Drosophila melanogaster: one gene and its partner. The protein of the gene in region 2 binds, or shares a complex with, the protein of the main gene of each other region. Each region holds a gene or a part of one and is shown on either strand. Other genes may lie near its edges.

Evidence for each region. Proteins that work in one complex are often made in the same cells at the same time.
Region 1: CSN4 (region 2) and CSN7 share a complex: the UniProt entries of both Drosophila melanogaster proteins name them as parts of the CSN complex.

Annotation. Positions count from the first base shown.
Region 1 is NT_033778.4:8,419,126-8,424,093, forward strand, and holds the start of CSN7 (COP9 signalosome subunit 7), read left to right. Parts: upstream 1-1,907; 5' UTR 1,908-1,985; coding exon 1,986-2,171; intron 2,172-2,231; coding exon 2,232-2,484; intron 2,485-4,968. UniProt on the Drosophila melanogaster protein: Component of the COP9 signalosome complex (CSN), a complex involved in various cellular and developmental processes.
Region 2 is NT_033778.4:7,970,393-7,974,655, reverse strand, and holds CSN4 (COP9 signalosome subunit 4), read right to left. Parts: upstream 2,482-4,263; 5' UTR 2,406-2,481; intron 2,319-2,405; 5' UTR 2,235-2,318; intron 2,159-2,234; 5' UTR 2,041-2,158; coding exon 1,468-2,040; intron 1,409-1,467; coding exon 758-1,408; 3' UTR 557-757; downstream 1-556. Other genes in the region: ACC (Acetyl-CoA carboxylase), read left to right, coding at 35-169; CG8726 (uncharacterized protein), read left to right, coding at 2,918-3,019, 3,127-3,412, 3,474-3,882, 3,943-4,124, 4,182-4,263. UniProt on the Drosophila melanogaster protein: Component of the COP9 signalosome complex (CSN), a complex involved in various cellular and developmental processes.

The DNA.
Region 1 (4,968 bases), 450 kb from region 2:
ATTGTGCGTCAAATTAATGACAAAGTGAAATCCACAAAAAACCAGAACACGGAGCAGAGCGGGTAAAGTTTGCCGCCGTGACAAAGAGCTTTTCAAAACTGCGAGAATCAGCGGCAAGGCGGAAAGTCTACTATAGCTTACCCTATGCGGAAATTCCAGCCAGAGACCATATATGTATATGGTCATGCCACCAAAAACATCTGGACTAACTTAAAACCTAAAATGTTATATCTTTTTTATAATATGTTCCATTTCTCAGTTGGTATTCGTTACTTCCATTTGTTCATAGATTAATACCGAAACATGGGAAACCTGAACGTTACCATTTAATTTCAGCTTAGTGTTCTTCTGTTGCAAACCAAAAACGTTTTTTTCGCTCTGCCCAATCTTCTAAGTAATTTCCAATCCCCACCTGCTGACCACTAGTGGTCCATCGCAAGAATGGCCACAGGCTTTCGTCGGTTGGCGAGCGAATATCCTCGATGGGCGCAACTTTGCGCACGCAACCCGCAAAATTGCGAACGAAGTAAAGGCAGCGGGATTTCGCATTATTCCAAAAATGTTTCAAACGCAAACTAATCCCGGATGCAATTCGGATAGCAGTCGCCGCAGGAGAAGAACCACATCCGCCGCTCCGGATGGAAGCCAAAAGCGAATCTGCAGCCGAACGCACGCAACAGAATCAAAATCACAACCAATTTTGTAATGGCTGCGTACTGGCAAATTTGGCAAAATCCCATAAAATTTGGAAGGATGGTGGGTAGAGTGGGTAGAGTGGTCGGTAGGCGTGCCAATCCAATTGGAAAAATTACAAAACAGTCCGGTCAATTTCTGTCGAAGTGTCGGCATTACAAGAGGTATGGAAAACAAAGCGATACAAGTGGAAAATATGCTGTAAAATTGAACACTGTGCTGTGGGCAATTTTAAAACAGACGCAGTATCTTTAAGGCTCGGGCTCACCTTTTTCCTGTGAGATCCTGTGTGTGAGTGTGTGTATCCCCGTGGGTCCCTGACCTTTAGTTAACTTTTCATAATCGATGAGCTGGCGCATCTCATACAGGGAATGGCGGTCCCAATCACGCTCACTCCCACTTCCATGCCGAAGTCAACCCCCCAGACACAATAAAGGGTTTTCAACTTTGACCCTAGCCTTTTTATACTCGTATTCGCATATCCGCCCCTACCCACAGCAATAATAGCAAGTGTGGCTGGCGCAAAGTTTTGGCAGTCCAAAGTAGCTCAAGGAATATATTTTTTTAGGCCCAGCCTGCCGTTTCCGCCCTCTTCTCTCCTTTTTTTATACAGCCCCCTAGGGTGCGTCTGTGTGTGCCGCCGGATGGAATGTGGAGCGAAAAGTGTTTTAAAATGGGGATGCCCTGCTTTAACATAATGACCAACATTTCCAAGAGGTGAGTGCAAATGCTAGGCTGTTATTAGAAAAAAACAATGTAGCGAACGAGGAGGTATCCCCAAAGAACATAAAATAATCATAAGCATAATGAACGGGTTAGTATCTGTGGCTAAGGTTGCATAAATCTTAAGTTTTTAATTTACTTTTTCACACAGGGCCTGACCAACTTCAGATTGTTTAAGCTTGGCGCCCACTTTTATGGCAGTCAGCTTGTGCAAGAGACATAATAGTGTGACCTTAATTCTGTTTACCGTACCAAATTTAGTATATTTACTCTGCACTGTAATTTAAACTAATTTTATTATAGGGCAACACAAATAATATTTTTATAAAAACTGTAATTTGTTTTTATGGCTAGATATACAATAATTAAATCGTAAGTATGTCCTGTCATGTGCGTAGTAAGAAATAGTTAGAACTCATTACACTAATAAGATAGAATGAATTGAAACTTCGATAAACTTCGGTCGATATAATTTGGCCATCGATGAACGGTCACACTGGCACTGTGCTTGCAAAAATCAAAACAATCCCAAAATTTAAAAACAAATTATCCAACTTGAAGTTATCAAAATGACGCAGGACATGCTGCTGGGCAACGAGGAGCCGAGCAAGAGCAAGGAGACGTTCCTGGAGAAGTTCTGTGTCCTGGCCAAGTCATCCACCGGCGCCGCTTTGCTGGATGTGATTCGCCAGGCCCTGGAAGCCCCGAATGTCTTTGTTTTTGGCGAATTACTGGCGGAGCCATCCGTTTTGCAGGTGCGTCCATCAATGAAACACATTCTGGCAGTAACTTACCAACCACAAAACCACACATAGCTTAAAGACGGTCCGGACTCCAAGCACTTCGAGACCCTGAACCTATTCGCATACGGCACATACAAGGAATACCGTGCACAGCCGGAAAAGTTCATCGAGCTGACTCCTGCCATGCAGAAGAAGCTGCAGCACCTGACTATCGTCTCGCTGGCCATTAAAGCAAAGAGCATTCCCTATGCCCTGCTGCTCAGCGAACTGGAGATCGACAACGTCCGCCACTTGGAGGATATCATCATAGAGGCCATCTACGCGGGTGAGTTCGCCTAGGTGGATAGATTCAACTAGGTTTCAACTTTACAGCCCCGATGTAGTCTATACAATGTTGCATTACTTTTATTTGCGCAAAACTCATATAAAACAGTTGTTTCCACCTCTCAAAAGTCAAAAAAAAAAGTCCCTTTTCGCATGAAATCGATTTCACGGTTACTAGGGCATTCAACAAAAAAAGCTTTCCTCCTTTTCCTTTTGGGTTAAAAACGTATTCATTTTTCAGCTGAAAGTCCAGCCAATTCAGTGCCAAGCTGACAAATCTCGACCCTGCCTCGCTCCTCAGCTTGCATTATTAAATCAAATGCTAATTTTTGACTACTTCTCACCATGGAAAGGGCGCCTCCTCGTTCAATTAGCATTTTTCAGCAGCTGTACACCTGCGCCGGCGGCCCAGCAGCTGTGAAAGCAGTAGATTCATAAAGTTGTGCTGCCGTCTAGCGCCTCCCATTCCAGACCACCACACCCCGGCCACCGCCTTTGGGCAGTGCACTTGATTAGCCGGGACAGCTGGCGCATCCTGGCAAACGAAAACAATTGGGCGAAGAAACGAGGATTATGCTCGGCAAGATTCATTAAGCCACTCGTTATGGCGCCCCACCAGTTGATTCTGCCCAACTCATCCCCGCGGGGAAACAGTTTTTACTGTTGCCGACGTCGTCAGCTGGATGAACACTTTTGCCTCGATGATTTCCTTTTTGAGCTCACGCCTCAGTGGTGGCCGCCTACAATCAAACTTCGCTACGTAATTGCCACATAAAAAGTTTGCTCCAAGCGTAAGGTGAGGAATCACAAATCGTAAATATTTCCAACTGTGGGAAAATCTTTTGTCAAGATGCTGACCATTAGTAGTTTTGTATGTACCTAAATAGGAGTAATTTGATACGATTACAATCAGTGCATACAATTCTTAGAATCCTAATAGAGACTTGTAGCCTAAATTGTGCATTTGAAACTAACAGGCAATTAGCTGTTGCTATGACTCGCATATAGGAGACGATTGTTGGTAGATGATGTGCATAATTTGCCCACTGTTGCATAGAAACTTGAAATCCATCACTGTGCGCCGGCACAGCTGCATATTTACACAATTTGCACTTGTAGTTCCGGACCGAGGACCCAGTCTGCATTGTATGTCTGCTGAAAGCCTTAAATCAAACGCAACACCCAGAAGCCGGGGCCCAAATATCGCACTCGGAAACATCGTCCGTGTAAGCATACTTAGGGCCCTCGAATGTGGTGCTAAACTTGTTGGTGCTGTTGATTTTTGAGCTTTGGCCTGTGATCTATGGACCGGAATGAAAACAAACAGAGGCTGTGCTATATGGGGCTGGAAAACGAGCCTTTCAGGCGGATTTTTGGTTAGTCCTGTTCGGTTTTCAGCGGCTCCCGACAAGTGCCCACTCGACGTATGAAACAATCTAAACATACGTACCAGAACATTAGCGCTGGATAAGCAAATAGCGTGCAGAAGTTTTTAATGGACTCTTGGACGTCCATTATGTAAGCAAATAAAGTGACAACTCAACGCCATCTGCTCCTCGCAACATCGTCTCACCTGCCCTTCCTAATTGCTTTCCAAATCCAGGCAATGAACAGACAAATAAATTCCCCCGCCCCAGCGAAGATTTATGTTATGATAGCCATCATTAGAGCATCATTGCGGGTGGCAGGAGGCCAAGTGCCAGATGTCTGGCGGAATGCGAAATCATTGCGTTCTATTAGGCGCCGTAATCTGACATCGCAATTTAATGTAGTTGGCAACGGAGCGGGGCCTCCATTAGCCGGCGGGCAGGTTGAGTGGTTCTCTCGTCGCGATTCCAGGTCATCCCATTAGAGCATCATTTGTCTACCAGGACGCTGGGTTGGGGATATGGTAATTAAATGCCTTCTAGAATTCAAATTCGCCAGAAATTCATTTCGGCTCGTTCCATTAGTGGGACAGCTCTTGATTGTTTCGGCTTTGCTCAGTGTTTGGTTTACATTAATAGTACCTAAATTTATTTCAGATATAATAATAATAAGTAATAATAATAAGTATTCCCTCAAGTTAAGTTTTGTTACCTCTGAGGATATTTAGACAACATCATGTGCTTTAACTTGTATTTTAGTTCTTTGCTCTTTCTTTCATAGCAGTTCTACGAATGTTAATTAAGTTGTAAAAATAAGAGTAAGAGTGCGGATAACCGCCCTCAAAAATGTATTGTAAGCGAGAGTCTTTGGCATCTGCTCCTAAAATCGATAAGTCGAGCATTCCCCACCAGAACAGCCTCTGTGGTTTTCAATCTCCCAGGCATTTTCAAATATTTTCCCAACTGCTTCGAACTACTTTTTATGCAATAACATCCCGGCACCAGTAGCTGTATGCTGGGAATCGCACGAATATAAGCAAAACAGTTTGTGCACTCATGTCGAGGCGAGAGTGGTGGTTCGGAATGCCACCGAGTTCACCGAGGATTGCACCCTCGCT
Region 2 (4,263 bases):
GGGAACTAACTCCTCTATTTATATATCTTTTCAGGACTGTCCCGACGTAGCGCTGGACGCTGTTGTGGGTCTTTGCCAAGGTCTGACGCCAGTGAATCGAGGCGTGGTCGTACGCACATTAGCCCAGATGCAGCTGAATGAGGAGACCTCTAACAGCAACCAGGGATGATTCTACGCTATGTTCTAAGTTCTTTTTAGGCCCTCTATTTCATCCTTCCCGTTCCCGCCCTTCACCACATTTCTCAGTCCCGCTTTGCGCTTGTAAGATATCGCAAGGCGTGCATGATGTGCATTTTGTTTAGTTAAATTTGTTTAAAAGTAATTAGCGTAAATCTAGTTATGTATTGGAGTTGTAGGCATGGGTTAATTTGTTGCCTAAGTGGCCCGATAAACTAGTTGTATCGTGTACATATTTGATTATGTATATCCCCTGAATACAAATCATTCCATTAGTTGTATAAGAACTAAAGTCCTTTGTACACAGAGCCTTTTGAATAATACGAGTTACTGAAAAAATAAATGTATGGTACACTACATTAACAAAACTCGCTGGATTGCAAAAGGGGTTTTTCGTCTTGTTCTGTTTTTCTTTTCTTTTGGTTCCACAGGATCGATAATGTACATAATTTCATTTATTTTTATAATTTTAAAATGAAATCTATCGCAGTCGGGGGTTATATCCTCCGATTCACTGCGTTCCTATATGCCGTTTTTTAATTAAGATGAGTGGGGGGAGATGGGATGGCGAGAGCCTGCTTCAGTTCAGGTTATCCATCCAATCGGGCTCGGCGACACTTATCTTCTCTATAATGGAATTAACCTGATAGCATAGCGACTGGATCTGCCTATCCCACTGAGGCAGTAGTTCCCGATTCTCGAAGTGCACAATGGCCGAGATCTGGTCGATGTGTCCGTTCATGCGACCTTCGGTAATCATCTGAGAGGCAATCTTCTCTGCTTTCACCGCGGGTATGTCCAGCAGAGCGCCTAGCTCCTCAAAAGTTATGTTGTTGTACAGCTTACTAGCCGACAACAGATTGTGCTCGAAAACAGCCCGATCCAAGATCGAGGATCCATCGGAGGTGGCAGCCTTTTGGTGGTCCTGCAGCAGGGCCTCGAACTCCTGTAGCTCGGAGCGCCGAATGATGCGCTCCAAGTACATCTTTTCCAAAATTCCATAGGCCGGCAAGTGCTGACAGCGTTCATCCTTGAACAGAGTGGCCAGCATGCGGGAACGCTGCTGTCCGGCAGAGGCGAGGACTGTGCAGATGAGCGCTTTCTTCAGTGCCGTCATCCTCTCGCCTTGGTCCACGATCTTGCGGTAGGAGAGCTCGTTATATCGCTGGGCGGCCTCGATAAACTTGCGCCTGTAATCCAGGACACGAGCATAACAGACTTTATATAGAACCTAAAAGGTGCGATTTTTAACAGATTACCCATCTAAAATAGCGCTAGGAAGCCATTTACCTGCAACTCCTCGGAATTAGTTTCGGCCTGCAGCAATGATGCCCGGTTGATGAACAGCTCCGCCTGCACCGAATCGTTGTCCTCCAGATAGAGTCGAGCGATCTTTAAGTAGGTGCCCAACTTGCACTCCACGGAGTACTGTTTCTGACCCGTCTCCAGAGGAATGCCAACTAGCACTGTGGCCGCATCGCGCCACTGCTGGTTGCGCTCATAGATGTTGGCCAGGTGGAAACGTATGCCAGCCACTTGCTCTTCGAACGAGATGACGCGCGGATTGACCTTTTCCAGGGTGAAGTGAGAAAGCATCTTGGACAGATCGTCAGGCAACTTGCTCAGCTCGCTGCCCACGTCGTTAAGGATCTGCCGCGAGATCACCAGGCTGACGTGCTCGTTTACAATGGCCTCCACAAAGAGCCGGAGCCCATCGATCAGCTCTTGGCCGGTGTTCGTCAGCACAGTCTTCAGCAGCTGGCGGTACTTGTCCGCCTGGTCCTTGTGCGTGCCAGTGAAGTTGATCAGGCCCATCAGCTGGCTACGCAGAGCTGCCGTCGAGATGCCGTAGTTTGCGGCCATATTCACTTCTATACCCAATTACTTCGCACTAGCTAAAAACAACAACGCAAGCTCATCCCTGTTATCGATAGCTCGCAAATCCGGCCGGGACAGTGCAGGACGCCTAGCTTTTATCTAGCTGGTGTTGGAAAATGTTCGATGGTGATACTCAGCTTACAAATTTAGTTCGCAATTTATATTTTATTTATTATTACCTATCTATCTATGACTTCTTTCCATAGATAGGTTTTGAGTAAAGACCAAACCACATGAAAATGTTGACATAAAAAAATGTATATCTGAGGATAAAATTTAAATATTACATAACATAATATAACATATTTAAAATACTATCTGCAAAGCGCAAGACTCTTACCAAGGCTTACATTTGTTCTACTCGTATTATCTTCCAATAAAATATTTATGGAATAAAATATGCCAATAAAATATTGGCAGTATTTCCTTTCAGCATTCGATTTTTAAAGGAAGGCCTATAATGATTCGGTAAGGTTTAAAATTCACTTAATGCTTACACTTGTACATACTTTCCCAATAAATTATTTAAAATTGGCGCTTCAATCCAAGCTGCAGTCTATCGGTGACTGCATTCTTGAAATATCGATACAAAAATGACAGTCGGTGCGCTGCAGTAAACAGTGAAAAAATATACTTGTGTCGAGTCCAATTGGACTGCGAAAACTGCATTAAACAAAGAGGTCAAAGACAATCTGCAAGTGGTAGTAGCTAGAGAATTACTAGAAACTCGAGATATTCAGTGCAAAGACCAATCCATTCGGATCCTTGTGGAAAAGGGTGGAGGCCAGGCCCACACATACATACACTTTCAGCAGCAGCGCAGCTCGCCGAGTGAAGTGGAAAATGTATCCAAAGGAGTCCAATGGCCGTTTTTGCGAGCAGATATGAACGGAAATTGCCAATTGACGACACCCAGGCGCTGAGCTGCGAGATAACCGCCGTCCAGGAGGTCGCCGGACATACGGTAGCTAGATCGCGAGGGGGCAGAGCTGCTGACCCCAGCGAAAAATCAATAATTGTTGATGATTTCATGCAGGCGGCGAATGTGACTGTGTGTGTGTCTGCTTGCAGGAGTACCTGCTGCGCGTGTGGAGGGGCGCCAGCAACAAGAACTACTGGACCGTTTTGCGCCGCTATAATGACTTCGACCGACTGGACAAGTCTCTCCGCGTCTCCGGCATCGAGCTGCCGCTGCCTCGCAAACGCATCTTTGGTAACATGCGCCCGGAGTTCATAGCTGAACGGAAGCAAGCCCTGCAAGAGTACATAAACGCCGTACTAATGAATCCCATATTGGCATCCTCGCTGCCAGCCAAGCGCTTTGTGGATCCCGAGAGTTACTCGCAGTCCTTTCACGGTGAGTTAATTTGCTAGTGAAGAAGAAGGTCCCCTAATCGATGTCCTCCAATTATCTTCAGACCATGCCGTGCAGAATGCTATGCTCTGCCTGCGCAACGACACTACGTGGTCGCTGGGTGGAAGTATGGGTGCCATAGGCTGGCGCCTCCGGAAGCACTACTTTAAGGTCACTACAAAGCCGCCGGAGAAGAGCAGCAACAAGCAACTGGTTAAGAGCGGTTCACAGACCCATCAGAGCAAACATTTCGCCGCTGGGAGCAGCAATGGCAGCGGTCACTCCATCGACGCCGGAACCTTGGATCCCGGGTCAGAGGTGGTGGCTGAGTGGCTGGAGTACGGACCCGACAAGTTTATCGACGAAAAAGAAATCGGGGGCATAATGAAAAGCCTGATGGGCCTGCAGCATCCGCACATCGAGCCCGTTCTCCTGGCAGCCCACACCGAAAACGGTTGCCTGGTCATAAGAAAGTCAGTAGCTCACGTTGTCTAACTTATACATTATATAACTTAATATATATATCCACTTAGATTCCACAAGCATGGTACTTTAAAGGATGTTTTGTGCATGGCCGCGAATCCAAAGAATACATTTCTTAGCAAGTACGGCAATCCCAAGGGGCGCACTGCGCTTTCAATGAAACAAGTGGCTACATATGGGAAGCAGATTCTAGAGGCCCTAATATTTTTGCACTCGAAGGGATACGCATATGGTAAGATGAATCCCTATTGAAAGCTACTTTTTATTTAATAAATGAAAACATTTTAAGGTCATCTACATTCCGGAAACATAGTGATAGTCGACGATTGTGTTAAGCTACTGGACATCGAGAACTTTTTGCTGGGCGTTCC